Linked DNA regions of Arabidopsis thaliana. The protein of the gene in region 1 interacts with the protein of each later gene in a pairwise test. Each region holds a gene or a part of one and is shown in the gene's direction. Other genes may lie near its edges.

Region 1 (7,340 bases):
TGTCGAGAATCCTCTCTACAATCCCAATTGCTGTCTATTGGACCATAAGAAGCGTCATCGCTTGCATTTCTCAGATCAACATGATCACTGCTATGGGACATGAGTATGATAATTAACTTTGTTTTAATCGATCTTTCTATTGATCACACGCTAACGCGTACACTTTATTTATCAGGATGATGAACACGCAAATGGATTTATGGGAAACATCGATGTTAGCTAACAAGCTTAAGAACATACATGACCATCTCGCTGAGACCTTGAGGCTTTGTTACCGGCATATAGGTTTGTTTGTTTGTTCCGTCCCATTCAACAGCTATTCATCACCCTGTTTCTTTACTGACAAAGACTGGAATTTGCAGAGAAGCAGAGGAGCTCAGAGTCCTTAAAGGTGTTGCATTCTCTATTCGACACCACTCACATTGATAACATGAAGATTCTCACGGCCTTGGTTCATCCCAAACCCCACATCACTCCATTGCAAGATGGTTTGACCAAGAGAAAGGTTTTCGTGTTAGGTTTTTTTTTATAGAAAGGTTCATCAATACAAAAGATTTTAACTAAGAAATCTCTGTTCTGTTATATGAATGTTGCAGGTTCACTTGGATGTGTTGAGGAGGAAGACAGTGTTGCTGCTCATCTCTGATCTCAACATACTACAAGATGAGCTATCGATTTTCGAGCAAATCTACACAGAGTCAAGGAGGAACTTGGTTGGGGTCGATGGTAAGAGTCATATGCCTTACGAGGTTGTGTGGGTTCCAGTAGTGGATCCTATTGAAGATTTTGAAAGATCTCCGATTTTACAGAAGAAATTTGAGGATCTCCGTGACCCTATGCCATGGTATCTAACACATTTATTTCAAAACACACATTCTAGTAGTTGTAAAGAAAGATGGAGAAATATAATTGGAAGTTATTTTTTTTTGTGGGGGTCAGGTATTCAGTGGATAGCCCGAAGCTGATAGAGAGACATGTGGTGGAGTTTATGAGAGGGAGATGGCATTTTATGAACAAGCCGATACTTGTGGTGATTGATCCACAAGGCAACGAGGCTAGCCTCAATGCGCTTCATATGATCTGGATTTGGGGCACTGAAGCTTTCCCTTTCACTAGATCTCGTGAGGAAGAGCTCTGGAGGAGAGAGACCTTTTCCCTTAACCTCATCGTCGACGGCATCGACTCTGTCATTTTCAACTGGGTATTTCAAAAGTCTCATCCTTTTTTCTTTTTATGATTGGCCTGGAAACTCTAGAAACAGAGCAGGCAGGGTTTGACCTAAATTACATTCATTCAAGAACGAGGCGTGATTAATGAACAATGATGGGTCTGATTTGCAGATAAAACCGGATAATTACATTTTCCTGTACGGAGGAGATGACTTGGACTGGATAAGGAGATTCACAATGGCGGCCAAAGCAACGGCCAAAGATTCCAACGTGAACCTTGAGATGGCTTACGTCGGAAAACGAAACCATAGCCACAGGGAACAGATCAGGCGTATCAGTGAAGTAATCAGGTCTGAAAACCTGAGCCATAGCTGGGCCGAACCTGCCTTGATGTGGTTCTTCTGGACTAGGCTCGAGAGCATGTTGTACTCCAAGATTCAACTCGGTAAAGCCGATGATCACGACGATGTAAGAGTTGACTAGCTAGGGTTTTCAATTATTTCGGTTCGGTTCGGTTCAATTGGTTAATGAATGATTTTGTGTGTTTGAAAACGTTGATTAGGTGATGCAAGGAATCAAAAAGATACTAAGCTACGACAAGCTTGGAGGATGGGCACTACTGAGCAAAGGACCTGAGATAGTGATGATCGCTCACGGTGCCATAGAGAGGACTATGAGTGTTTACGACCGGACCTGGAAAACCCACGTCCCGACCAAAGGCTACACCAAAGCAATGTCCGACCACCACCACGATGAGGTCCTCCGTGAAACCGGAAAACCTTGCGGCCACTTTGATTTCCACATCACTGCTCGGAGCGGTCGGATTCCGGAGAAGATGAATTGCTTCGAGTGTCAGCGTCCGATGGAGAAGTACATGAGCTTCTCTTGTTGTCACGATGAAAAGCTCCACGAAGACGAGAACTACAACTTCTAAATGATGCAATAAGCTCACGTCTCTTCCCGCTGCTTTTTCTTTTTGTTTTACGTAATTTGAATTCTCTATATAGTTTTTCATAAATAATTTCTGAATTTCAATATCTTTGTATGAGAGAGAATTGGTCATTCCATGTGTGTGGTTTGGCCTTTGTGGGACATGTTCGATTGAAGTATTCCTAATAATTTTCAATAATTAACAATTTCTTCTCTTAATAGCATAGATAAATGTTGAATTTATTTTGTTAATAAAATTAACCCTGATGAATACAACAATTTTGAATATGTCAAATTAGACCAATTCAAAATATAACTATTTGCTTTCTTTCTTCTCATAATGTTTATATATCCCACTTTAGTAAATGGACCCCCACGAAGCACACCACAGCATACTCTTTTTTATTCTTTCCAGTTTCTAATGGTTTACTTATATACTCTTATCATTTTCTAATTGATCAATTTGTCATTTATTGGCTTATCTTCTTATAAATGTTTTTTGTGTTAGTTGTTGATATCTCATTTTCTTGTCCAGTGAATTATAGCATTTCAATGTGTCCCTCATGTCGTCAATATAATGTTTTATTTTCCTTGTTATGATCCATATCTTCATGTGTGGTCCATCTTCAAATAAAGAATGGATTGTTACTACTCTTATCGTTTGGGCTAGTTTTTATAATTAGACACAAAATTTGTAACTTTCATTCTTTTTTTAGTATTTAACACAAAGTAATTTGATGGATTAGTCTAAATAATAAAGGCAAAAAGTTAAGTAAATGTCAAAAGAGATATGGCATATGTCTAATCATAACCAATGAATTGCATGGTTCTATCTAAATAGCAACCATATCATCCCACATGCCATTGTCCACCTTGTCTATCTTAGGAAAACACTTTGTTTGTAACTCTATTGTACTCTTTGAATTATGAAATCTATGTAAACCCTTCTTATTGTGGGGGACAAAGGCTAATTTTAATGGTCTGTCCACTTCTGCTTGACTTTGATACATAAATTAGGGGTGGCTCATGTCATATCTATGAGAATTAGGTACAAAAGAGTTTTCAAATGAGCAAGTTGTATTTTTATTCGATTAGCCGTCGTATTATGTCAAATATAAGTTAAAAATATGTAAAAGTACAAAATGTAGATTATGATATTAGGGATGAATTGAGATAAAATTACCTATAATTTATTACTACGCATAATAAATAATTTGTTACGTTAATTCTCATAGATACGTTATAGCCAATACCGAACCCCTATTTAAGTCAAAAGTACTTCTAAGTATTTTTTAGCGTAAATCAATTTTTATGAAAAGCAACAATTAAGATTAATGTAGTAATCTAGTAATCGTTAAAAAAGCCACTTTGTTAGTATTGCTTAATACTCTCTCTCTCTCTCTGTTCCCAAGGAGATGAAAAGCTTCAATCTCAAAACATAGCAGCTCTCTCAATAAACCAAACCCAAATGCAAGCTGTGTAGAGAGAAACGGAGTGAGGAAGGAAGGAGATGGGAGGGGTGACGTCATCGGTGGCGGCGAAGTTTGCCTTCTTCCCGCCGAGTCCACCGTCTTACAAGGTGGTGACCGACGAGCTCACCGGACTGTTGCTTCTCAGCCCTTTCCCCCACCGCGAAAACGTAGAAATCGTAAAGCTTCGGACCAGGAGAGGCACAGAGATCGTGGGCATGTACGTGAGGCATCCGATGGCTACCTCCACGCTCCTCTACTCCCATGGCAACGCCGCCGATCTGGGACAGATGTATGAGCTCTTCATTGAGCTTAGCATCCATCTCAAGGTTAATCTTATGGGGTCTGTTTTTCTTTCTCTCCCTTTGTAATTCGATTGATTTTATTATTATGATGCTGATTTAAAAATGTTATCTTTGTATGCTTCTTTTGATTGATTTGGTATAGGATTTGCCCTGTTTTGATTCTCACGTTTCTAGCTCTGTTTCTAGTATTTGCTCTGTTTATGTTTGGAGTGTTTATTCACCACCCCAATAAAAAAGGAAACTTGGGCTAGGATCTGCTTGGAATCAATCAGTCTTTGATATTATTGGTTGTGATGTTGCAGATACGATTACTCCGGGTATGGACAATCTACTGGAAAGGTTTGTCCTTTACCCCATCAATCTGATTGGTCTGATGATCCATTATGAGTTTTAGGACCAACTCTCAAAAATCTTTCTTTCTCTTAAATGATTGATTGTAGCCGAGTGAGCATAACACGTATGCTGATATCGAAGCTGTTTATAAGTGTCTTGAAGAAACCTTTGGCTCTAAGCAGGAAGGTGTCATCCTCTACGGCCAATCTGTAGGCAGCGGACCTACGTTAGATCTTGCTTCCCGGTTGCCTCAACTTAGAGCCGTCGTCCTTCACAGCCCCATTCTCTCCGGTTTAAGAGTTATGTATTCCGTCAAGAAAACCTACTGGTTCGACATCTACAAGGTAGACCACGTACCAATTCTTTCTATTAATCCTACACATTCTCCAAATTGTAATGTAAGAAGCTTGTTGTGTGTGAGTGTGTGTTTTTCCGCAGAATATCGACAAAATCCCATATGTCGATTGCCCGGTTCTCATCATTCATGTAAGTCAGGTTTCAGATAGATACATTTTCGTTTGAATTTTTGATAAGCTTTTTGGATCCAAACAGTTTCAAATATGTGCAGGGAACTTCGGATGAGGTAGTGGATTGTTCTCATGGGAAACAACTATGGGAACTCTGCAAAGACAAGTACGAGCCGCTCTGGGTGAAAGGAGGGAACCACTGTGATCTTGAACACTACCCTGAATACATTAGACACCTCAAGAAGTTCATAGCAACAGTAGAGAGATTACCATGTCCGAGGATGAGCAGCGACCAATCAGAGAGAGTGAGAGATGCGCCCCCGAGGAGAAGTATGGACAGGAGAGTGAAGCCGAGGCAGAGCACAGAGCGTAGAGAGAAAGAGAAGCCACCAAAGAGTCAGTCGAAGATGAGTAGCAGCAGCAGCAAGCTCAAGATCTCGTTTGATCAACTTGATCGCTCGCGGAGGAGCGTTGACTGCCATGAAAAGACTCGGAAGAGCGTTGACCAGATTGAGAGGGGGAGGAAGAGTGTGGATAGGTTGGATAGAGTTCGCTCCGAGTAAAAACCACACACTCACACTCACACACGTATAATACGTATGTAGATGAAAAGAGTACATAACTGTTTCTATTTACCGAACAAAATAACATGTGGATGTCGCTCCTCATATTATTGATTTGTAATCTTTTATGCAATTTGGGATCTCTCTCGCCATCTCCTTTTGAATCAACAACCTTTTGTGGTGGGCTTGAATATCCATCCTCTGTTTTTAGATGAGTTTTTAGTGTTTGTGGTAAGTAGGAAAGTTCCAAAACAAAGATCACACATCTCATGTGGGCCTGAACTAAATTCATGGCCCAATCGTTTGTTCTTAATAGAAATCCAATTTTTAGGATCTCGCTATCTTTTGCTACGTACAAAAATTAATATATACAAAAAGTAGCTCACTTCTAAAATAAGGCTAATGGATGCCCATTTTCTTCTCAAATCCATCGATTTTCCTAAAATTTCTCAAATTTCAAAACATATAAATCCATCTCATTGTCCTCTTGTTTTCCTTCATCTGAAGCTTCTGCAGTATTCAAACAAATAAAATATACTGCTTTAGCTTTGGACACCTCCTCTTACTAATCTCTATAACTATATTTAAAAAGTAGAAAATAATGGCACGTCTATTTGTCGTAGTTGCCCTTTTGGCTTTGGCCGTGGGCACCGTATTCGCCGCCGATGCACCTTCAGCTGCACCCACCGCCTCACCAACCAAATCCCCAACCAAGGCTCCTGCCGCTGCACCCAAATCCTCCGCCGCCGCACCGAAAGCATCATCCCCTGTTGCTGAGGAACCCACCCCTGAAGACGACTACTCTGCAGCCAGCCCCAGTGACTCCGCCGAGGCACCCACCGTCTCCTCCCCACCCGCTCCTACCCCCGAAGCCGATGGTCCCTCCTCCGACGGACCCTCATCTGATGGACCCGCCGCCGCCGAGTCACCCAAAAGTGGCGCCACGACTAATGTGAAGCTCTCCATCGCCGGCACTGTCGCCGCCGCCGGATTCTTCATCTTCTCTCTCTAAGTTTTGTTTTTTAATTAAACTTGAGACGGAATCATAAGATTCACATTATGAGATGAGGCCGTATCTCTTTAACTAACTAACTATACTATATACAGTGATTTATATTAATCAAGAGATTGAATGGAGTTATTATTATTACGTACCGTTGTTGTACTATGTTTTTTTTGATTACGTAATTTTTGATGATTGTGAACTTATTAATGTTTATTTAGAAATTAAATGAAAAACAAATTTTTCAAAGAGGGCATTTGGTCTAGTGGTATGATTCTCGCTTAGGGTGCGAGAGGTCCCGAGTTCAATTCTCGGAATGCCCCCTTTCTTTCTTATTTTGTGTTTTCAAATCATATATAAACAAAGTTTACAAATATTCATACAATGCAATCTAGTAAAATTCAATATTCCTTCTTGGAATAAAACCAAATACAGTATGTCAACAATTCCAAACTAATCCTTTTTTGAGGCAATCCGGTTTTGATAGTTCTCCCCACAGCCACAGGCGCTAAGTCAGCGCAATATCTCTCTGAAAGATGATGATAGGGAGTTTCTGTAAGACCTCTCTGCTACTGTAACAGAGCCTACAAAGACCACACAGAGAACTCTCAGACACAGAAACGATGGCTACTATCTTTTTCTTTTAGTACTTCACACATACATTTGGCGATTAGTGAAAGTAAGCTTACTTTCTTAGTTTGGTCTGTTGATTTTGGTCTCTGTTTGTAGAAATTTGGAAGTGGCTTCGCTTTGAAGCATAGCCTTTGCCTTAGTTTACTCTCTTCCTTCTCCACACTCCTCTCCTCCGCCTTCTGGTTCTGTGTCTCCATTTCCTTGAATTTCCCCTCTAGCTTCTGAAACACAAGAACCAGTTAAATGATGGTAAGTGACAAGACAAAAGCGTAGAAACCAAAAATATCTCTATTCTTGCCTTTTTTCTTCTCTCTGCTCTCTCCTCTGTTCTTAAGCCAAACGGTGTAAAACAGCTCGGTGTCCTGCTTTTGTTTTCCAATAACTTGGTTAAAAAGGTACGTACACATTATACATTTTTGAATTGAGTAAACTCTTATGAAGATCAGTTCTTCTTACTCCGCAGGGAGG
Region 2 (6,830 bases), on another chromosome or scaffold:
TGATGCTGAGAAGAAACAGAAAAGGGCTACTCCAAAGGAGGAACTCGATGCTATAGATGATGCTGAAACCTCTTTCGCAGAAATCTTTTCCCGGGAAAATGTGCCAAAGGGTTCTGAAGACGGTATTGAGAAGAAGAAGAAAAGCAGCGTCCAAGAGACAGGTTTAGTAAAAGTGATAGATACTAAAGCTAACAAGAAGAAGAAGAAGAGTGAAAAGAAGCAAAGCAAGAGTGTAGTGATTGATCTTCCCATGGAGGTTGAGATCGGGTTAGGAGGAGAGTCTAAGTGGGAGTAAACTGCAACAGAGGGAGTGTTTTACTCTTTAAAAGAAGGGACAGTTATGTCTGTAACATCCAACGGCTAGGGAGTATTTTGATATGGTTAAAGAACATAGGAGAGGAAGAAAGTGGTTTCGATCTTCTTTATAAATTGTTTTCTGCACTGTTGAGAAGCTATATCTAATTTTATAAAATGTTTGTGTCATTGAAACCAAAACAAAAAAAGGAGAATAGGTCCCACCGAGACTTGAACTCGGGTTACTGGATTCAGAGTCCAATGTCCTGACCACTAGACCATGGGACCATTCTATTCACGCTTTAATATTTGTTATTTTTATTGTGTTAGTTTCTAGTGTGTAATAAAAAAGAGAAATAAAATGATACAAGCTAAATGCTAGGAAAAATGTGGAAACACTAGTTTGGACAATGAGAAGTTTGAATTTTGATTTCAGAAAAGAAAACTAAATTAATTTTAGTGCAGACTATTCCGATTAGGTGTAAATGTGGTCTACATTTGTGATATATTATGAAGACGTAGAGAAGAGTTAGAAATTTTTGTCATCTTCTTTTGTTTCCTATGTTTGTTTTGTAATGCTAATGTTAAAACCGATTTGCTAGTTCAAAATGTCCGTATCTACCCGTATTGAATGTATGTAATTACCCATAGTATGTATTGTATATTGTAAACGATATTTTTTTAGTTTAGCTTATTTGACAAAAAAGAACGTCGTTTTTAAAGTAGAGTTTAGATTGCTGCTGCAAGAGTAGTTAGTATATTGAATAAAAGTATAGTGATATGACATTTTTGTCAAATTCTCCATGTGATATGTGAGTAGTAGTCAAAGACTCAAAGGAATAAAAGAGAAACAGACTAGAACTCTTTTTAATCTGAACCGTTCATCTATGTTGTATTTTTCTTCTATCATCGTGGCACTTCTCTAGTCTTCACACATTTTAAAATTCTTTTTTACTCGTATTAATTTATTTTTAAATTAGTAATATGTTAAATTATTTGTAATGGAGTTAAAAGAATCTGGAGGATGGATTTGATTTGACTGGCAGAGAAGGCATCTATCTCTTTGGGATGTTCCATAAGTATTTACTATTATTTGTACTCAGCATGTGCCTGTCTTTCATAATTCATATGCCAATCACAAAACTTGTGTTCAAATTAGTATAGAGACAATCATTGGTTTTGAGTTGTGAATTATGATTGGATAGTAGTAATCGTTAAGGCATCTAGGAAATTTTATGTCTGATTTACATTCAAAAAATCCTATATGTTTTAGAGCAGCAATATTTTTTTTTATGAATCCAAAAATCTAAAACCATGTATTCATTGTGTAACTATGATTGTTTAATGAGAGATTTTTAGCAATGATTGAACATCTACTATATATATTAGTGTCAAAATTGTCAAAGTTTCGATGTGCGACAATTCCAATAACTTATAACAACTGTCTGTAAAATTTTAGTGTATTGATCTTAATACCTACCTCTCTAGACAAAAGCCATAAGTTTATAAACACAATCCTAAAACATAAAATGAAGAACTATTCAATCCTAAACGAAAATGATTTATAATAATTATATTTCTGTTTGTGTTTTTGGATTGTGTATAACAAATATTCGCATTTAAACAAAAATACTATATATTATCTTTCTAAACACTATTCAATCATAATTGAACAATCTGCATGATATAAATCGTCAAAATCAATAAAAACTAATCAATTTTGCATTAAAAATAAAAAAACATCATCTAATTCAATACAATTTTTTTTCCTAAAACATAAGAAAAAAGGAGTATACTTTCTTGGCTCATGTATCTTGCCTTGTCTATGCATATTCATTTATTTCAAAATATGTCACCCATATTCATGTTTGTTGAAAACAATGCTACTTTATAGTAGTACGTAGTACGTTGTCTTTAACTCTTTTGACGTTCATATTATTTCCCAAAAAAAAAATACTAATCAAAAACGAAATGAGTCGGGTCTTAATCCGATCAAACGAGGTTAAATTGTGACCTAAACCCGTGTTCTGTTCGACTTTTGGCAAGTTCTAGAAAACACATGTTAGCTTTTGACGTTAGCATAGAGGTTAATGCTAGTTTTGATAATCTAGTACGTTGTCTTTATTTGATGCTCTTCTTTTTTTCTTCTCCAGAAAAGCCTACAAAAACTTAATAGAATCCTGTCTAATCCGATCAAACCAGGTTAACTTGTGGTCTAAAGATTCTAAACTCTTTAGAAAGCACTAATTTGGAAACATGGATTCCATGATATCTTTTTGCAAGTCATTGTTGCATTAATGAGTTAGCGGCAACAATATTTGTACTCATTGATTATGAAATTATTTTTGTTAAAATTAATGACGAAATTGGACAACATCGGTTCATGAACCCTCCAAAGAAAATTTACATTGCCCAAATAGACAACGCACAAACACAAAAACACCACACTGTCTCCATCTTTCTTTCCTCTTCTTCAACATCTCTCTTCTCCCAAGAAAATAAAACACAATTTCCCAGATTCAAAACTTCTTTTTCACAAATCACAACGTCTTCAAAGGGATCAAGAATCTTATTACTCTTCTCTTCTTTTGCTTTTAAGAAGAAGTAAAAACATCATCTTAACTTTCACTTTTTGTATTATCTTTCTCTTTCACTCACTTTAAAGTCTATTTAGAGATTCAAAAACAAAATCTTCCAGAAACTGCTTCTGATCTTAGAAGATGACTCACTTCTCCTAAAAAGCACCAATTTCAATCCTATTTTTTTCTCTTGTTTTCCGGCAAGATTTGGTAAAATTTTGTGTTCTGATTTGTTGTTTTGAATATCAACTATGGAACAACGGAAGAAAGGTTGTAAGATCAGGAAGAGAGGTGGTTCTTCCTCTTCTTCTTCTTCACTTGCTCGTCGAAACCGCTTCAAACGTGCAATTTTCGCCGGGAAAAGAGCCGCTCAAGACGACGGTGGCTCAGGAACTCCTGTTAAGTCCATCACCGCCGCTAAAACTCCAGTTCTGTTATCGTTTTCGCCGGAAAATCTTCCTATAGATCATCATCAATTGCAGAAAAGCTGCGTGTCGGCGAGAAAGCTAGCTGCGACGCTGTGGGAAATCAACGACGACGCAGACCCTCCGGTAAATTCTGATAAAGATTGCTTGAGAAGCAAGAAACCATCGAGATACAGAGCGAAGAAATCAACAGAGTTCTCTTCCATTGATTTCCCGCCACGATCATCCGATCCGATTTCTCGTCTAAGCTCAGAGGTTAGGGTTTGCTTCAGTTTCAAGTTTCCTCTGTGTTTTTTTTCTTTCTGAAATTCTAAGTCTGAAAAATCAAAATTGCACAGAGAATCGATCTCTGTGACGATATGATTCGTAGAAGATCAACAAATCCTCAGAAATTAAACCCAATTGAATACAAAATCATTGGCGCAAACTCGGTATGATTTGCAATCTTACCCTAAAAACACTTTTCTTGCGGAAGAAGAAAGGTCTGATTCTTAATTATATTACAGGTGAAAACTCGTTTCAAGAATGTCAGTGACGGATTAACAACGTCTAAAGAACTGGTAAAGGTATTAAAAAGGATCGGTGAGCTCGGAGATGATCACAAGACAGCAAGCAATCGTTTGATCTCTGCTTTGTTATGTGAACTAGACAGAGCAAGATCTTCACTAAAGCATCTAATGAGTGAATTAGATGAAGAGGAAGAGGAGAAGCGGAGGTTGATAGAGAGTCTACAAGAAGAGGCGATGGTTGAGAGAAAACTCCGGCGAAGAACAGAGAAGATGAATAGAAGATTAGGGAGAGAGCTCACGGAGGCTAAAGAAACAGAGAGGAAGATGAAGGAGGAGATGAAAAGAGAGAAGAGAGCTAAAGATGTTCTTGAAGAGGTTTGTGATGAGCTAACTAAAGGAATCGGAGATGATAAGAAGGAGATGGAGAAAGAGAGAGAGATGATGCATATAGCTGATGTTTTGAGGGAAGAGAGAGTTCAAATGAAGCTTACGGAGGCGAAGTTTGAGTTCGAAGATAAATACGCCGCCGTGGAGCGGCTGAAGAAGGAGCTCCGGCGGGTTTTGGATGGTGAAGAAGGAAAAGGGTCGTCGGAGATTCGTAGGATTTTGGAGGTGATTGATGGTTCTGGTTCTGATGATGATGAGGAGAGTGATCTTAAGTCCATTGAGTTGAACATGGAGAGTGGTAGTAAATGGGGTTATGTTGATAGCCTGAAAGATCGTCGGAGATTTGATGGCTCCGGCGGCGATGATGATGATGATGATCCGGTGGAGAAGAGATCAGTGATTGTTGAGAATGGTGAGAGAGATGAGTCTTTGAAGACTTTGAGAGATTACATTGTTTCAAATGTTAGATGTATTGGTCCTTCATCGTCAGAGCAGTGGAATCATCGGAATTTACCAAGCTCTGAGTTTGTGTAATCACCACCGCTAGCGCCGGCGAGGAAGAAAAAGAAATCATTTTTTTTTATAGTATATAATATTTCAGTATTTGTAATTTATTCAATTTAATTTGAAATACAAAATCAATTACGGAATATTTTTTGCCGGTATATCACATTTTTTCGTCTACAATGGTTTAACCTCAATTTACTACACATATCCAATCAAATCATTATTTGCATTTTCTATCAAAATATTCCGTTTTTATGATCGAAGTTTCAAGTTTGTAATCAAGTGATTTGTCAGAATTTGAAGTCTATTACGGAACTTAAGTGCTTATTTTAGAGAACAACAATTCATTACGTACGAGTTTTTATGTTTGTAACTAACTCTAATTAGACCATAATGTAGATGTAGAGAATAAGGGGAAACCAAACAAATCATGCTTGGAATGAATTGGAGGTGAATTGTACATTGTATATAACTATTAAAGAACTTATTTATTGGTGGCATTGAAGATATACACATGGAAACGTTGATTTGGTGTAAATTAAATCATAATGATTAGTACAACAATGAGAATAAGAACGAACAATAATGAGATATATAATTGATTCAAGAAAGGATTAGTTTAAGATTTTGAATCAAAAACGAAACAAGACATTTTCTCTATTATTGTCTAGACATTTGGACAGCATCGTTCCATCTTCCCATGTGATTTTGTCTCAACTATATATCCGTTACGTTTTACCCTATTTGGGAATATTTGGTAACAATTCAACCAAAAAAGTTACAAAAATTAATAAGATGACATGAACAATAACGAACAATAACGGATCTTCATTTTTCGATCATATATACACATGATTAGGTAATAGGTCAATTCGTGTGAAAGATATATGCATATACCAATCAGCCTTACTCTATGTCCCCCACTCAATATAATATTTTAGCTTAGAACCATATATATATGTACCATTAAACCAAATCAAGGGGTTTTGGGTTCCAAAAGTTTGTCTTTCTTTTTTTGTTTCATACTTTTACATAGTTTAGGGATAAATCATTAACTCGTATAACAAAATAAAACTACTAAAGTTGAAGCATAATATAGTGCCACTAGGCTAACTAATTTTCTCTCATTGAATGAGAAAGGTCAAATGCTAAAAACATTCGCATTATAGGGAGATATTTTGTCAGAGTGATGATCTTATCAAGTTCGTGTGTGGTTTATCTCTTTGTCTCCTCCTTTGTCTGTATAATAAACATTGATATATACAATGAACCTACCTACAAAATCACTATTTTGAAGACATTGATGTTACTAATATAGCAACTAGCAAATCAACTGTCAGTGGACAGATCGTCTCAAACATGGGCAGACTTTTCGTTTCGATTTTGGTGTTACCAAATAACACTTTGAATGTTAAAAATATGAGTTTTCCTATATATTAATATACTTCGTATTTTTATCCCAGAACTTGATTACATAATTTTTAAACCTATAAAACAGAGTTTTTAAAATTCCATATTTCGGTTTGTTTCGGTACGAATGTGTTGCTTATCCTCTATGCCAAACCAAAAAAAAACAATTTATATGAATGTTTTAGGTTTTCACAGGGTGGATACAAACAGAAAAGCCTAAGCCCATTCCAAGAGACAGGGAAATAAATAAGGAAACAAGGCCCAAACCCATAGAGAGTGTTGTGTTGCGGAAGAGTAGAGAGAATTGGTAGCTTATTTGTTTTGGCCATTTGGGTTTGTTTTTCTTTCATCTTTTTCGTAAAAATGACTCATCTTAATCCCTAACAAGTTATTGAATCACTAGTTTCATGTACAAATTTGAAGAACATGGAACGAGCAGAACCAAGCATAGTATAAACGAGGAATAGAAGACAACACTCAATCTAACGGTTTAGATTTTTTATCGATTTCAATTACAACACAAGTCTTGAAGTTTACTACAGATAAACTTCATCAAATTACAGAGAAAGTTTGGGTCTAACAAATGATCATTTGTTAGACGGATTCATCTTCCATTACCTTTGACGTCTTGAAGCTGACCGCTTTTCTCGGATGCTCCCTTATGTTCAAGCTAAACACTTCAGGCCTCGAGTAATGTCCGACCACATCAAAATCAAACT
Region 3 (7,089 bases), 4.5 Mb from region 1:
AAGCTCAATTAGAGGTGTTACGGAACAGTCGCGAGGATAGAGACAGTGAGAGAAGAGTCAGAAGTCACCAATAGTGTCAAGGATAACGGCAATGTAAGTTCACAGTTGAAGAGATGAATGTTTGTAAAAGTGAATTCTGATGATGTTTAGGATTGTGGCTTGAAACATGACAGTGTAAATCGAAACTTCAGATTCTGAATATGGCACAAATTTGATGAATAGTCAAAATACTTGAAAAGATACCAACTTTATTTCCTGAAACCAGTTACAAAGTGATAGACACAGAGTGATTCATGAAGAGCTGAACAAAAGATAAACGCCACTACTACTATTACTACTTCATCTGAAGGATGAATTTTGAAGACATTAAGAAACAGAAACTCAGAAGAGGTCGTCAGAGTCTTCTTTAAGTGTGAATTCGCATGAATCGAACCGCCAAGCCAGAGGAGTGGAAGGCATCATAGAGCCATGACGGATTGGAGAGCGCCATGGAGTCGAGTTCTTCAGCCAATCAGAAAACTTGGGCGATGCCATCTCTTCTGGTTCTTCGTAAGTCAGATCGTCCTTAGCATCCATCTGAAACCAAAAACACATAGGATAGAGTCATAAAAAGTGTCACTTTAAGTTCCAAAACTAGATTAAAGATGCAGTCTCACCAAAATCTCCATCAAAGACAGAGAGATAGACATTGTTTTTTAAGTACAGTACCTTTTCAATGTCCCAATTGAGATGCTTCTCCTTGATGCTGGAACCTGCAAGTACAAAAGATCAAGTTTAGCACAAGCTTACTCGCAAAGATTGGTTAAACATCATAGCTTAGAAGATCTAAATACAATACCATGATGAAGTAGCATGAGATCAGCAGAGTAGTGATCATCCCAAAGATTTTGCTGTTCTTTGATGCATTTGCTGTGATCATGTAAAAACCTTTCCCCAGCTATATCAATCTCTTTCACAGCAGCAGAAGCAATTTGCTTGTTCTTTGAAGAAGCAGCAGCTTTCGCATGAATCCCAGACTTGTTTGTAATATCATTCAGAGCCTTACGAGCTCCTCCAGGTTTCTTCTGACCAAGTACAGTCCCTTTGGATTTCACAGAAGCAGCAGTGACAGACTCTGTAAATAATAGCCAAGAAAGAAAATGTTAAATCTTTGTTTCAAAGCAATATGATTTAAAGAGAGTAGAGAAAGATTAACTACTTTTGCGATGAATTGGAGCGTTCTCGTCTGGGAAGATCATTTGTTGAAGAGCGTTCATGTTCGCCATATGGTTTTAACTGTGAATCATCAAAGAACCAATTGCAGAAACGAAGATTTGATTCCAGAACTGACGATTTTAAGCAATTAGAAACCCTAAAAAAGGTAACAGAAACCCAACTCGAAATCGAAACAAAGATCGTTTTTTTCACAAAACCCAATTCGATCCTCAAGCAAATTTAACACCACAGACCCCAGAAACCCAGAACGAATCAAGTAGCGACATACGAAAAGAAGAACAAACAATCGCAAGAAGAACAGTCTATAATGTGAACCTAAATCAGAAGGAAGAAAGAGATTACCTTTGTAAAAGTGAAGAAGTTTCTTGGTGAGATTCTTGTTGGAAGAGAAGTGTATAAGAAGATGAAGAAGAGCGCTTAGAGTGTTTAACGGTAACTTTTCAATGTTGTTCTGACGAAATAATGAAGAACCTCCGGGATTAGGCCAAAAAAAGTAAATTTATAGAAGAAGAGAAAAAGTTTCTAGCCGTTGGCAGAATATTTTAATGCAGGCCTAATCAAGAATTGGCCCAGGTACAGGCCCATCACATAAATCAAATTGACGGCATCAAACTATCATGTAAGATAGAAGCAAAACATGTCACACTTCTCTAAGTTATCTTCTTATCGGCTAGATTTATCATCATCCTTGATTAAATCTCCTTAATTTTGGAAGGTTAAATTATAGGTAAAGTGTATATAATTAGTCTAACCAAGGATATTCAACGCTTCTCGTTCCTGTTCCTTATATAAAACCATTATCCTCACATAAAGAAGACTTAACAAAAAAAAAACTCTTTTCAAAACACATTAGAGACAATTAACAAGAAAAACCCTTCTAATAATTTGATCAGAGATATGGGTTTTTCGCACAAGTTGTGGGATGAAACTTTGGCCGGTCCAACGCCGGAAAATGGTCTCGGGAAGTTGAGAAACCACATATCCGGTGAAAGTGCCAACCGGAAGTTGATGGTGGATCTGAAACGTGTCCCGAATTCTCCTGACCGTTCAAGCAACCCCGTTTCCCCTTTGACTCTTATGTTACCTTTTTTAAAAATCCTTTCTGATCCACTTTTTTTTTATCTTCTATGCTTGTGTTATGAGCAGTTAAAACCCTATATATTCATGTAAATTAAAGACTTTGCAAGGTGATACATATGTTCATAGTCATTATAAGCTTTTTTTTATTATTTTTTTTTTTTATTTTGACATCCATAATCATTATTAGCTTGAGAGTATTATGGATTTGTAAATTAATGATTACCAAAATCATTTGTATGCAGCTGGAACACCAAGTGAAACACATGCTACAAGTCTCAATGCTTGCGATTGGTTTGATCTCCCTCTCTTTTCTTTCCTCTCAAACTATACTTCATTTTATCCAACGCATTATCGCTTTCATTAGTACCACCATATCTAATTAACGTCCGGTAATACTGCAGGATTGTGCTAAACGCATTGGACCGTTGAAAAATATTACAAGGTATTTCTACGAGAAGAAGAAGTATCCCAAACTACTTTTCTTTGTATATATATATTTGCTGTGTACATAACATAATGGTCGCTTTTGGTGTTTTGAGATTTGAGAAATATTAAATTTCTGTTTGTTTCACAATTCACGAAGATTATATAAGGTCTTTTTGAAACATAGTATTTCTGGAATGTTTAAAGTTGTATCTTTGACAATGGTGAAAAGAAAAAATGATACTAAGTGATAACATGCTAACGTAGCGTATGGAAAGCCCAATAAAAACCCATGCCCAAAGTAAATAACATCCACGTCACCGTTCTTATTGTTAAAAGAGAGACTAATTCGAATCGATTTAACGAATGAAGCAAGACAACGAAGGAAGACAACTGGAAACTATCGACGGACTAAAAAAAGTCTACGACCGATATTGAAACTGACGGTTAGGCTAAGGGTAATTTCGGTACATCACCGGAAAAATGGTTCACGGGGATAGTTCCGGTAATTATAGTAAAACTAGATGGGCTTTTCCGTCAATACACTTCCTCATCGGATTACGAAGAAATGGGGAAATTACGATACAAACCCATCTTTTACCCCTAAACCGAGCCGGCAACTTTACCGGTGACGGAATCTTACCTCTGACCTACCAATCACGTCATTCCACGTCATCTCCCCGTATCTTCTCACGTCCTTCCACGTGTCCCCTCTACTCACCGACGCCGTCTCCTTCCCGTTTACCCCTCCCGAACAGAATATTAACCCAAACCCTAACCCTATCTCCCTCTTTCACGAGCTTCTGACTCAGATCCGGCGATATCGAATTCCATGGAGGACGATGAAGACATCCGATCTCAGGGTTCCGATTCACCTGATCCGTCTTCCTCCCCGCCGGCGGGACGAATCACGGTTACGGTGGCTTCGGCAGGTCCGCCTTCTTATTCTCTGACTCCTCCGGGTAATTCGTCGCAGAAGGATCCGGATGCGTTGGCTCTGGCGCTGCTTCCGATTCAGGCCAGCGGTGGAGGGAATAACAGCAGTGGGAGACCAACCGGCGGCGGCGGGAGGGAGGATTGTTGGAGCGAAGCAGCTACGGCTGTGTTGATTGATGCGTGGGGTGAGAGATACTTGGAGCTTAGCAGAGGGAATCTGAAGCAGAAGCACTGGAAAGAGGTGGCTGAGATTGTGAGCAGCAGAGAGGATTACGGTAAAATTCCCAAAACTGATATACAGTGTAAGAATAGGATCGATACGGTGAAGAAGAAGTATAAACAAGAGAAGGTGAGAATCGCTAACGGCGGTGGCCGTAGCAGATGGGTGTTCTTCGACAAGCTTGACCGTCTGATTGGATCAACGGCGAAGATCCCGACGGCAACTTCTGGAGTCAGCGGTCCTGTCGGAGGATTGCATAAGATTCCTATGGGTATTCCAATGGGAAGTCGTTCGAATCTGTACCATCAGCAAGCTAAGGCTGCAACACCGCCTTTCAATAATCTTGACCGGTTAATTGGAGCTACGGCTAGAGTCTCAGCTGCTTCTTTCGGTGGCAGTGGTGGAGGAGGCGGAGGAGGATCTGTCAATGTACCTATGGGAATTCCGATGAGTAGCCGTTCAGCTCCGTTTGGACAGCAAGGGAGGACTCTGCCACAGCAAGGTAGGACACTGCCACAGCAACAGCAGCAAGGGATGATGGTGAAAAGGTGTAGTGAGTCGAAACGCTGGCGTTTCAGGAAGAGGAACGCTTCTGATTCAGACTCGGAATCTGAAGCAGCAATGTCAGATGATTCCGGTGACAGTTTACCACCTCCTCCTCTGTCGAAGAGGATGAAGACGGAGGAGAAGAAGAAGCAAGATGGTGATGGAGTGGGGAACAAATGGAGGGAGCTGACTCGGGCAATCATGAGATTCGGTGAAGCTTATGAGCAAACAGAGAATGCGAAACTGCAACAGGTGGTTGAGATGGAGAAAGAGAGGATGAAGTTCTTGAAGGAGCTTGAGTTGCAGAGAATGCAGTTCTTTGTGAAGACTCAATTGGAGATATCACAACTTAAGCAGCAACATGGGAGGAGAATGGGAAACACCAGTAATGATCATCATCACAGCCGCAAGAACAACATCAATGCGATTGTCAACAACAACAACGATTTGGGTAATAACTAGAATTTAGTGATGCAGTGTCGTAATTGATATATTTTAGATTTGAGTCTTTAATTGTTGAAAGAGAAACTGAAACTTATCTAGGCTTCATGAGTGTATTAATATTTTGCATATCTTTCTTAACTTTGGTCATATGGAACAGATTTAACTTCACTAGATTGCCTGAGATCATTCTGCTGCAGACTCTTGTGCACGTTTTTGAACTTCTCTTAATCTCTGAGTTAGATTGTGTTTCACTAGTTAGGTTAGAACATGGCATAGGACATTTTTGACACAATCCAACCGCAAAATCTTAAAGCTATGTTTGGTTATTATGACATTGGAGATTTGCATGTGTACCTAAAAGCATTTTTTTAACTCTTTTTCTTTTGAGTAATTGTTTGAGCTAGATTTTCTTGTGTCTGAAGCATCATTCAAACCACCAATGATGATCTTCTATAAAAGAAGAATGTTAGGCAAGAAACCTTTTCGTTGGTCTGTTTATTTATTTTTCTATGATGTTTGCCTTTTGGCATTTTATAGGTACTAAACAAATGACAGTCAATTCAAATTCATTACACATAGATGTTTCTCACAATTTTACCTTCCGCACTAAGCTAATATTCATGTATCGAAAGGTGAATCATGATATTTGAGTAAAAATACCATCTTCCGAGTCCCACCGTAACATCATTCTAACTTGCACTATTCTTATTTTTTTTTGAAACGAATACAATAATGAAAACGTAAGAAATAAAGCATCTTGAAATCTTCTGAATTTTGTTTTTGTTTTAGGTAGAAAAGAGTTTGATTCCAAAGGTCCACGTGTGTTTAGACATATAGATTAGATATTATCTAATGATATATTGGTATCACTAGGATTACTAATCAAGATTTTTCCTTAGTAAAGTTCAAAATAAAGTTTTTTTTTTCAAAATAAAGTTTTTTTTTGGAACTAAATCTAGCAATAAAAGTAGTGATTACTAAAGAAATAGTAAATTATTAATGTAACAAATGAATATTCTTTTTTTTTTTTTAAAGTGGGCAAGAAAAGATACCAAAAAGAAAGAAAGAATTGGGTAGGATTTAAAGCCATGTCTCCATTATAAATATATAGTTAGGGTCAATTGTCCATTAAAATTAAAGAAGAATAAAGAGTGATATCCTATAATTAGATATTTTTTCAGGGGGTCCATCATTTGATTTAAAGTGTCTCCAAAAGTTGGAATAAAAATGGTTGGTGTTAATATTATTAATTTTCAGTAGAGTAGAATAAGCTCTAATTTAAATACTTCTTTTTGTCAGCATCTATTTAGTACAGTGTTTATTTAACATAATATACATTTTGCACATAGAGATTTTACTCTAAAACAGCGAATCGTTGTTACTCTTAACGTTAAATATTTGGATCTGAAAGGCAAAGTACCAATATACCCATTTGTTCCTTGGCCCATCTGTGGGTAAGAGACTAATTTACCCCTCCAATTTATATACTTCACAGCAATAAATTCGAAGAATAAAAGGGTATTATGGGTAACTAACGAAAGCCGTTTAGGATTCGGCGAGACCTGTTTCCGGAATTTCGTAATTACTGCCGACTTTCTTTGATTTTTGTTTAATTTAATATTTCAAATTTTACGCTCTATTACTCTCTTTTTTTTTTTGTTTTGTCATCGTATACGCTACTTCACGTCAACAAAAATGGTGATTTTTGTCTGAAGAACGTTTATTTCTTTCTCTTGATTTCACTTTCTCTCTCTAAAGTAGATTTTTGACAAAGATAGATTACGGCGGAAGGAAGGAGACACACAATGATGGGAGAGATATTGAATCCATCAGCGGAAGTGAAATTAATTACGAAGTTGACTTGAGAGTTTTGAGTGAAGCCAAAAACAGAAGAAAACAATCTTCATTGTTAGGGTTTTAATAAGCTTTAAGAAGAGGATGCTGAATATAGAAAGCAGAGAAAGAATCTCGACAATGATAGTAACTATTCGAATGTGAATCTGAAAGAGACTGATTCATCGGAAACAGACGAAGATCTCATTTTGTTTCTATTCTCAGGTATGGTCTGATCCGAGCAGGACTTCACTTGAATTTCAATGGCGTTTTGTTTCCTTATTGGATTTGGGATTTTACTTTATGTCTTGAATTTGAATTCGAATCATGGGTCTTCGAGGATTCGTCCTTATTGGGCGTGAATCAGTTTTCTTAGTGATTGGGTTTTCAAA
Region 4 (9,540 bases), on another chromosome or scaffold:
TATCCTTCTATCAGCCTTTACTTTTTTAATATACCCTAAATTGGTCCGACACAAACAAAGACTTTTTATGCTTCAGCCTTCAAGTAGGGATTTGTTAATCGTCTATCGATCTATGTTCATATCTAATTTAATTTGCTTTACTGTTGTTTGACGAATTTTATCTCGTCGGATGGCTTTCGCAATTCTCCGTTGTTTCTTAGGATGATTAATCGTCAAATCTATTAGTTGGAACTAAGCCTTCTGTAAAAATAAAATATCATTCTGGGGCATCGGTGAATCAAATGATCAAAGGTTCCAGCTACTGTTGTCGGTACATTGAAAGGCATGCGTCTGGAATATCAAAGTCGACAATTCAACATGTATACATAGTATGTTAAGATTTAACAAAAAATTACATTCGAATATCTGTAAATTTCATTTTTCTTTTTCTGTTACAATTTAAAACATGCACCTAATGTATTATTATAGTTGTCCAAATTAAAAACAATTTAATTTGTTTTAAAAATTTGATTTGAAAAATGCTAAATAATATGTTTATATGACAAACAAATGGATTTTAACTACAACTACTAAGAAGTATAAAACACTCGGCCATATATATACGAAAACCAAACCAATATCTTCACTCTCTTTTATCAAAAAGCTTTTAACCTCAGCTGTTCAATAATTCACCAATCATGGTGACCAGAAACATCGCCTTTTATGGATTCCAATAAGAGGTCTATTATCTGAACGCACTTAGGGTTGTGCTCTCAGAGTTTATCTCGACTTTGATCTTCGTCTTCGCTGGCTCATGCTCCGGAATTGCTTTCAACAAGCTCACTAACAATGGAGCCACCACTCCTACCGGCCTCGTCGCCGCTGCCTTAGCTCATGCTTTAGGTCTCCTTGTTATTTGTTTCTGTTGTCGCTAACATTTCTGGTGGCCACGTTAACCCTGTCGTTACATTCGGTGTCTTTCTCAGTGTGTCAGAGGTAACATCATTCTCCTCAGTGGTATTTTCTACTTGATTGCTCAGCTTTTTGGCTCAGTCGCCGCGTATTTCCTCCTTATCTTTCCCACTGGTGACGAGGTAACATCACTTATTACACTTATTGCCTTACTAAACCAGGTTAGTATTGTTTTCAATTTGATTTTAGTTGTAATTTCGATTATTGGTTTTTTTCTTCTTCTCTATTTTCTTCACAGTTGTTATTAACCAAGAATAGTAAATATTTAAGATTCGTATAATACAATAATGTTTCTATTATATTTATAATTTCAAGCTGAGACTAATGTTAATATTTAGATATTTTAAATAGAAAATCATATGTTTAGTAAATATTTACCAGGTAATGGAAGATTTGTGTTGGCAAAACCAACCAAGTGAGCGTAATTGTAAACTTTAAACCCAATCGCCTATGTCTATAATCATAATAATTTAATATCTTTAATAACACCATACCAACATATATGAACTTCATACGTTAAAAAATAACTTGAAAGAATCACAATCGTTATAATTTACCGTTTATTTTTCTTCCTATCATTTTATAAAAAACAACTATATTTTCTAATTGATCGACACACATTTCACCAGCTAAATTTGTTATGAAATCAACATGTTAGAGGATTTGTTACAAATTTAAGGTTAATAGTGCTCAAGAAAATATTTAAAAATATAGAAAGAGTGATGGTTGAAGTTCTTACTTATGATAGGTTCATATGTTGAATTAATTACTAATTATATTTTACTTATTTTAATAAGTCTAGGTGGCAAGCTCTCATGTGCTGATGTGTCAAGTTGTGGGAGAGAGTTGAGCTCCTTTCATATATATAATTTACGTTATATTTTGCCTCTTAAGTTTTGTAGTGACCATCATAATTTCTCTTTTGATGTCTTTGTGGGCAAATGAGGTAATCTAGAAAGAAATTACATGGATGAAGATGATATAGAACATACGAGATCTGATGAATGACAGATTACTATAGTTTTTCTTTTCCCTAGTTAATGTTGTTAATAAGGGGATAATTTTGCTAAATTTGGTAAAAGTACATGAATTATATATGATATGTGATTTAGTCAAGAAAAATTATGTGAACCTGATTAGATTTTACCATGTCTCAGGTTTTCAAGAATGCAATTTTTATTTCCATGGACTAGTTGAAATAGTTACCTATAAAATATCTTATGACATAAATCGATCTAGATATGATCTACATACAATTAGAACGCTTAAACGTGGAAACTTAATTGATGATATGCTTTATGGTGATCAAGAAGAAGATATCAACAAAGTGTTGAGATACTAACAAAAATAGTTTTTTTTTCTTGTTGTTATAAATATTGAGTCAGACTTTAAGTTACACGTATTTGCAAACTATAGTTTTGTGTTAGTTTTTTTGATATCAACACATTTCTATTTATTTGGCAACAAAATACTTTTCATAAGAGCATTTCTATGTCATATATTATAATTTATGTGATAAAGATAAAGATCACGATTTCCCGATTGACAAAGAAAATCTTATGAAATATGGAAAACATGATATGAAACACATCATATGTTTCTCATTCGTCAAGTATTTTTTATATGATATATAAAACTTTCTTTCTTTCTAGAATCCATGGCTCTTGTATAAGGTAGATTGTCTAACTCGTTACTCTAGATAGTATATTATATGAAATTTGTTTCGTAAATATTTTTCCTTAAGATTGGACTACCAATTATGAAGTAATATTTTAACTAATGTGTGGTTGACAAAATATAGAAAAAATCAAGAATCCAACCACATGTTGAGAAAAAAAATTTCTACTTCAAATACACTTACTTATTTTTATTATTTAGTCAACGAAATATTAATTTATTTATGGACATATTTTTAAAAATACCATAAAATTAATTTTTGTTATAAAACATTATTAGTAGTTTATATTTTTTTGAAAGTACCACTAAAATATATTATTTTCTGAAAATACCACAAAATTACTTTTAAAGTTTTCAAAACTAGATCCTAAACTCTAAAAAATAAACCCTAAACCCCAAAAAACTTAACTCAAACCCAAACATTTAATAAATTATAAACCCTTAAAATCAACTTTTTGTGTTTCAAGTATTTTTTGGGTATCTCTCTAATTTATTTATTTATTTCAGATTGCTCAAAAGAATAAATAAATAAAAGAATTTGGCTGTCTCATTTCCTTGTTCGGAATCGGAGAAGAAGGAAGACTAGATTCGATGTGTTGGTGAAGAAGATCTCGACTTTGTTCAAAATTCCAATTTCGCTCGCCTCAAAGATCATTCTCTCATCTTCTCGACTTTGATGCGATTGATTAAATATGGTGGATACGGTTATTCCCGGAGATATGGCTTGTTTGGATGCAGATTTGTTGCAGCTTCAGGAAATGTCTTCCTTTGTTCTCAATTCTAAACCTGGATTCACTCAGAAGCTCTTCGACCAGTGGCTTTCTCTTCCCGAAGCTCAGCGACAGGTTTCTGCTTTTTCACTATTCTTACACTCATGCTTCTTAGCTTACTCTCTGTTAGTTCGAATCTTTCTTTCGTAATGTTACAATGATACTTCGGTTGCTTACTTACTCTGTGGTGTTGAGGATTGGTGTAAAGTTTGAATCTTTCTTTGATACTGTTAGTGGGTATTACAGTGATGCCTTAGGTGGTTACTGATATTTGGTTGCTTAATTACTCTCTGGTTTCTGTTGAGGATTGGTGTAAAGTTGGGATCTTTGATAGTGTTAGTTATTACAATGATGCTTAGCTTACTGAGAATGGTGTAAAGTTCGAATATTTCTCTGATTGTGTTAGTGAGTATTATAATGATGCCTTAGGTGGTTACTTAGATTCGGTTGCTTAATTACTCTGTGGTGTAAAGTTCGTATCTTTCTTTGATAGTGTTGGTGAGTGTTACATTGATGCTTAGGTTACTGAGATTTACTCTGTGGTGTTGAAAGATTGGTGTAAAGTTTGAATCATTTTTTGATTCTGTGAGTTATGACGTATATTCTTATTTTCTTATGTGAGTATTACAATGAAGCTTACGTTAATGAGATTTGTTTGCTAAATTACTCTGTGGTGTTGAAGATTGGTGTAAAGTTTGAATCTTTCTTGGATTGTGTGAGTTATGACAATGATGCCTTAGGTGGTTAATGAGATTTGGTTGCTTAATTACTCTCTATTCACTGGAATCTCTAGTCTAATCTTTTTCTCGTTGGTTTTCTAGGTTGGATCATTGCTTAAGGATGCTGTAGCTGGAGCTCCTATCAATGTTACTGGAAGTGCATCGGGTTCTAATTCTGCCACTATACCATCTATGTTTCCTGCGGGAAGTGCTCCTCCGCTTTCACCAAGGAGTTGTGGTTCACCCCGTACAACCAAACAGAGAGCCCCTTCTAACTTAGGTTCTACTCTCAAAGTAGTCAACGAGCCTGTTAAAGAGCCTATACCTCAGGTTTCTTTTCCTCTTTTTCTTCCTTCTTTATATATATATAGTAATGGAATGGAGTTAACTCACTGATTTCTTAACTTGAAATGATTCTAGTTTTATTTCCAAAATGGTCGCCCTCCACCAAGCGAGATTAAAGAGCAATGTATGTTTAGAATCAATCACTTCTTTTATGGTCACATGGATGGCTTGCAGATACAAGGTTAGAAGTCAGTCATTTGTTTTCTACTAATTATATTTGAACTGTTTATTAACTTTTTTCTCCATTTTCAATCAATACTCAGAATTCAAGTTAGTCACCAGAGAAATCTGCAAGCTCCCATCTTTCTTCTCCACTTCCCTTTTCCGGAAGATCGATCTCAACAATACAGGTTTTGTTACTAGGTGTGTGCCGCTTCTTCTATGCTTTTTTTTTTTTTGTATGGTGCTTCCTCTTCATGTCTGCATAGTTTACTGAAACACCACCCAGTATAACAGTTTTTCGTGTTTGTTTCTACAGAGATGCATTTATTGATTTTTGGGTAAACGGGAACATGTTGATAATGGATACAACGACCCAAATCTTCAAGATACTAAAGCAGAAAGATCAGAGTTTCATTGTTAAGGTTATTTTCTTTTAAGATTTGCATATTCAGTCAGTCATGAGAGCGAGTTTATTATATTCCAGATTCTTTTCTTTTTTTCATGGCAGGATGATTTCAAACCACTACTCAAAGAACTGTTGGCGACGCATCCTGGGCTAGAGTTCCTGCAATCCACACCTGAATTCCAAGAAAGATATGGTTAGGTCTCAACTTTATTTACATTTTTAGTATCCTAAGTTATCTCATGTTTTCTTTTTCCGCTTGGTATTGCTTGAGTAATGGTGTTTAGTAATTGAGTTTGGTTGTGCATTTTATTCTTTGAAGTATATTGGTAGCTACAGCCCTAGTTGAGAAGAATGAGTGAATAAGTTTGCCACTTTGGTATGATGTACTTATCTAAATCTGTCAGATGGTTACCAGATCAATAGTATTTCTTCTTGATATTGCTTGAGTAATGGTGTTTAGTAATTGAGTTTGATTGTACATTTTATTCTTCGAAGTATATTGGTAGCTACAGCCCTAGTTGAGAAGAATGAGTGAATAAGTTTGCCATGTACTTATCTAAATCTGTCGAATGGTTACCACATCAATAATATTTCTAGTGAAATAAATAATTTTGATAATTGATGCATCGAGATACAGTAATAAATGTGGCATTACTCTGTATGGATTTTAAAATTTTTATAAGATACGGTTTCTTTGTTTTGTTGTGTTAGACATCATCTTATAACTTGCAAATCCATAAAGCTTTCAAGCACGGAATGAATCATCTTCAGTCTATGAATCCTGCAGATATAATCAATATCAGAAAAAATAAATTCTGGAGCTTGTTTATGAATCATGCGTCAGTTAGTAATGAATTCCCGAGAACACTTTGATTGCTTTCTAGATATCTGGAGTCCATATTCTTTGGTATTTGCTGCTACCGGTATCAAAGCTAAATTTTTAAGGATGCTTTTCTGTCTGATACAATTTGTATTTTGCTGAAACAGCTGAAACTGTCACCTACCGAATATTTTATTACATAAATAGATCTGGCAATGGTCGAATTACATTTAGGGAGCTTAAACGGGGAAACTTAATTGATGCTATGCTACATGCTGATGAAGAAGAAGATATTAACAAAGTGTTGAGGTACTGACAAAAATATTTGCGTGCTATTGTTGTATTTATAGTATTGTTTTTGCTCATTTAACATCACTTTTCTATTCACTTTGGCAATTAGATACTTCTCGTATGAGCATTTCTATGTCATATACTGCAAGTTCTGGGAGCTGGATACGGATCACGATTTCCTGATTGACAAAGAAAATCTTATGCGATATGGAAACCATGCTCTTACCTACCGGATTGTCGACAGAATATTCTCCCAGGTTCTGTCTAAAAAACCTTGCTCTTTAATGCCTACTACTTGAAGATTTTATTTATATTGCTTCTATTTTAAGAGTTCTTTCCTCGTTCAAAGTTATTATTGCTCTTAAGATGCATTGGTTTCTTCTCAGGTTGCTAGGAAGTTCACTAACAAAGTTGAAGGGAAGATGGGGTATGAGGACTTTGTCTATTTCATTCTTGCGGAAGAAGATAAATCGTCAGTGCCTAGCCTAGAATATTGGTAAGTTGTGATAGAAGGGTCCGAAAGTTGCAGACAGATACCATTTTAAGTCTTTTATCTGACACAAGTATACGTTGGACTAGGTTTAAGTGCATAGACTTGGATGCAAATGGGATTATTACGCGAAATGAGATGCAATTCTTTTATGAAGAGCAGTTGCATAGAATGGAGTGCATGGCGCAAGAGGCTGTTCTTTTCGAGGATATCTTATGTCAGATGATTGATATGATCGGACCTGAGGTTCAACAATATATCTCTTGTTTTCTTCTTTCTATATTTAGTATAGTCACAGAAGTAGTTTGTGTTCCCAGTTTTCTTTCTGAGTCTTGTGATTTTGTTTTGTGTTTGATTGTTTTTTATTTCCTTCCACAGAACGAAAGCCATATAACGCTGCATGACCTGAAAGGCTCAAAGCTCTCTGGAAACGTCTTCAACATCCTATTTAATCTCAACAAATTTATGGCATTTGAAACCCGGGATCCATTCCTCATTCGTCAGGTACTAATCATCTAATTTACCTTGCTACTTCTTCACACCACCACATGCGTCTTATAACATTTCTAATGTCAAACGGAAACAGGAGCGAGAGAACCCTACATTGACAGATTGGGACCGTTTTGCACATAGAGAGTATATTAGGCTATCAATGGAAGAAGATGTTGAAGATGCATCTAATGGAAGTGCTGAGGTTTGGGATGAGTCGTCGCTGGAGGCTCCCTTTTGAGTTCATAAAGGTAAGTCAACGGAAAACCGTAGTGTCTAGAAGATAAAACTAGTGGAAAAGGATTAGAAAAAAAAGAAACTGAAAAAACTTTGATGTTGATGCTTGTGCAAATGTTATTATTTCATAATATAACTTAATCATGCAGAAGAGAAATGTAAAGTCCCTGAGAAGAACATTTGGAGCTTTGTTGAGGAAGGAAAGTGAAAAACAAACGAAAAGCCGGTAGTATCCTCTGTTGAATACCATACTTAGCTTGGATTTGTTTTCTAACTTCTCTTTATTTGTTAGCTGATTCTACAGTTATATTTATTAACAATCGTCTAGATTTTACAGTCTTCTTCACCTGTATTGCATTCACTTTGCTCTGATGTTTCTATCTCTGGGTGTTACTTCATCATCTCCAGATGTTGAGACTTGTGAATTTCAATGCTATAGTTCCTTTAATTTTTGGTTGGTTCCTGAAGACACAGGATGTCACTGAGATGAGAAGAGGTTGGTTGTGTTATTACTATTGATCTTGAAGTGATGTCTTTTTATTTGTGAAATTCTTAAGGAAAAGCCACTTTGCTCTGTTCAGTTGATCTTCAAATCTTCACATCGGAATCGGTTTAGTTGGTTTGCGGTTGCTCTGAACTGTTTGTCAACCAAACCTCCCTTTATTATACTGAAAACTCTTTGTGCAACAGATGAAGAAAAAAGGAGAGGAGTCTTATTATGTACATAGTGTGGAACTCGCAAAGTTACCAGAACCGATCTTTATTGACACTGAGATAACCAGACATGACTTTCCCACCCGTATTCCTCATACCATCGATGAGGAAACACCAAGTGGAACCCAATGCTCCGACGAAGAAATCAGCTTCTGACGCCATTAAGAAGTTAACCAGAGGATAGTTTGTGCTCATCTCTCTCCCGAGGCTCGCTTCATACTCAGCCATCGACTTATTACCGACTTGTCTTGCCACTTCCGTGTAATAGAATCTCCAGTGAGCATAATCTTTACTTCTGTCCACCACTTCCTTCATCTCTGTAGAGAGCCAGATCCTGTTGAGCTCTGGAAACCGATCTCTGATCCGATCAGCTAAATGCATGTACTCTTCTAAAGCTGCGACTCTCATCTCGCATGCTTTGTCTCCCATCCGTACGTGAACACTCAGCATTGGCCTTGGAAGCCACGGCTTGTGATCCGACCACACCTGTTCCTCAATCTCTGTCCTCATCTTCTTATTCTTCTTTCTCCAATCTCCAGCTGAAAGAACAATCTTGGCAGCTTCTTTTCCAAACGCGGAATTTCGAGCAATGTTCATCAAACCGCAAGTGTATTCTGTTTGATATCTCATCAAGTATCTCACTGCTTGTGCTCTCCACCATCTCCGATCCATTTTCCGATGATTGGAGATTAAACTTCCGTTGATTTCTGTAGTTGGCTTCATATAACTCCAAGGCTTACCCCATTGCTTTGGTATAGCCCCAGCCCAAATCTCCTTTGTGCTATAATTTTGTTTCCCTGTAACAATCCCACTCTCCCACGCTTCTCTCTTCTTCACAATCGCAAAGGCTCGTTTTCGACACTCTTCTGACGTTTCCTGTAGAAAATAGCAAGACCAGTTTCCACGAAAAGAACCTGCATCAAAACAAAAGAGAAACACCAAATCAAATCCAAAGTTTGGTTCTTATATACACTTTTCAGCGTCTAAAACATCTTGATAAGAAGATTAACCAAGAAGATGTAATTTGTGATAGTTGCTGCTATATGTTAGAGTGAAGACTCAAAGGATTAAAGCCTTTATGTACCTTTGCAACCATCATGATCTGCTCGGTTGTAGTAATTTGCAACAAGCACTCGGTTTTCATTTATAGCTATCGCGAGTAGACCAGTCATTCCAGCTATCTGAGCTCCTATTCCAAAACCAGGAAGTGTTTCCCAATCAGCTACAAGGAACTTGAGACTCTTGTTTCCGCAATCCAAAGGATGCTGATGAATCCATATATCTCTTTGCACTCTCCTCGTTAACGGATAATTCTCTTCATCTCCTCCACTGATCTAAAACACAAGCTTTTGATTGTTCATTCACCATACTAATTGCTTGATGACAAAGAACAAGAAAAAGAAGAAGCATACCCAAGGAGGAAGTGTCCAGTTCGCCAAACGTGTATCCAAACGCTCCCTAACTCGAGC

The links.
Region 2: the proteins of AT3G01690 (region 1) and AT5G22310 interact in a two-hybrid assay, tested with the Arabidopsis thaliana proteins (one large-scale study listed by BioGRID).
Region 3: the proteins of AT3G01690 (region 1) and ASIL2 interact in a two-hybrid assay, tested with the Arabidopsis thaliana proteins (one large-scale study listed by BioGRID).
Region 4: the proteins of AT3G01690 (region 1) and AT5G28900 interact in a two-hybrid assay, tested with the Arabidopsis thaliana proteins (one large-scale study listed by BioGRID).

Annotation. Positions count from the first base shown.
Region 1 is NC_003074.8:253,144-260,483, forward strand, and holds AT3G01690 (alpha/beta-Hydrolases superfamily protein), read left to right. Parts: upstream 1-3,151; 5' UTR 3,152-3,609; coding exon 3,610-3,911; intron 3,912-4,175; coding exon 4,176-4,212; intron 4,213-4,313; coding exon 4,314-4,550; intron 4,551-4,644; coding exon 4,645-4,692; intron 4,693-4,774; coding exon 4,775-5,236; 3' UTR 5,237-5,553; downstream 5,554-7,340. Other genes in the region: SEOR1 (sieve element occlusion amino-terminus protein), read left to right, coding at 1-103, 176-285, 363-505, 597-844, 940-1,201, 1,341-1,637, 1,732-2,103; AGP11 (arabinogalactan protein 11), read left to right, coding at 5,838-6,248; AT3G01710 (TPX2 (targeting protein for Xklp2) protein family), read right to left, coding at 6,848-7,093, 7,171-7,234, 7,329-7,340.
Region 2 is NC_003076.8:7,381,640-7,388,469, reverse strand, and holds AT5G22310 (trichohyalin-like protein), read left to right. Parts: upstream 1-2,636; 5' UTR 2,637-3,124; coding exon 3,125-3,553; intron 3,554-3,636; coding exon 3,637-3,729; intron 3,730-3,804; coding exon 3,805-4,728; 3' UTR 4,729-4,887; downstream 4,888-6,830. Other genes in the region: AT5G22320 (Leucine-rich repeat (LRR) family protein), read left to right, coding at 1-295; NIT4 (nitrilase 4), read right to left, coding at 6,706-6,830.
Region 3 is NC_003074.8:4,705,083-4,712,171, reverse strand, and holds ASIL2 (sequence-specific DNA binding transcription factor), read left to right. Parts: upstream 1-2,995; 5' UTR 2,996-3,550; coding exon 3,551-4,882; 3' UTR 4,883-5,370; downstream 5,371-7,089. Other genes in the region: AT3G14190 (uncharacterized protein), read right to left, coding at 382-576, 709-752, 839-1,114, 1,199-1,265. UniProt on the Arabidopsis thaliana protein: Transcription regulator that may repress the maturation program during early embryogenesis.
Region 4 is NC_003076.8:10,922,532-10,932,071, forward strand, and holds AT5G28900 (Calcium-binding EF-hand family protein), read left to right. Parts: upstream 1-3,103; 5' UTR 3,104-3,320; coding exon 3,321-3,473; intron 3,474-4,219; coding exon 4,220-4,447; intron 4,448-4,537; coding exon 4,538-4,643; intron 4,644-4,725; coding exon 4,726-4,825; intron 4,826-4,940; coding exon 4,941-5,046; intron 5,047-5,132; coding exon 5,133-5,223; intron 5,224-6,017; coding exon 6,018-6,159; intron 6,160-6,250; coding exon 6,251-6,398; intron 6,399-6,527; coding exon 6,528-6,637; intron 6,638-6,720; coding exon 6,721-6,877; intron 6,878-7,009; coding exon 7,010-7,135; intron 7,136-7,217; coding exon 7,218-7,361; 3' UTR 7,362-7,371; intron 7,372-7,506; 3' UTR 7,507-7,931; downstream 7,932-9,540. Other genes in the region: AT5G28910 (alpha-(1,6)-fucosyltransferase), read right to left, coding at 8,102-8,985, 9,156-9,405, 9,484-9,540.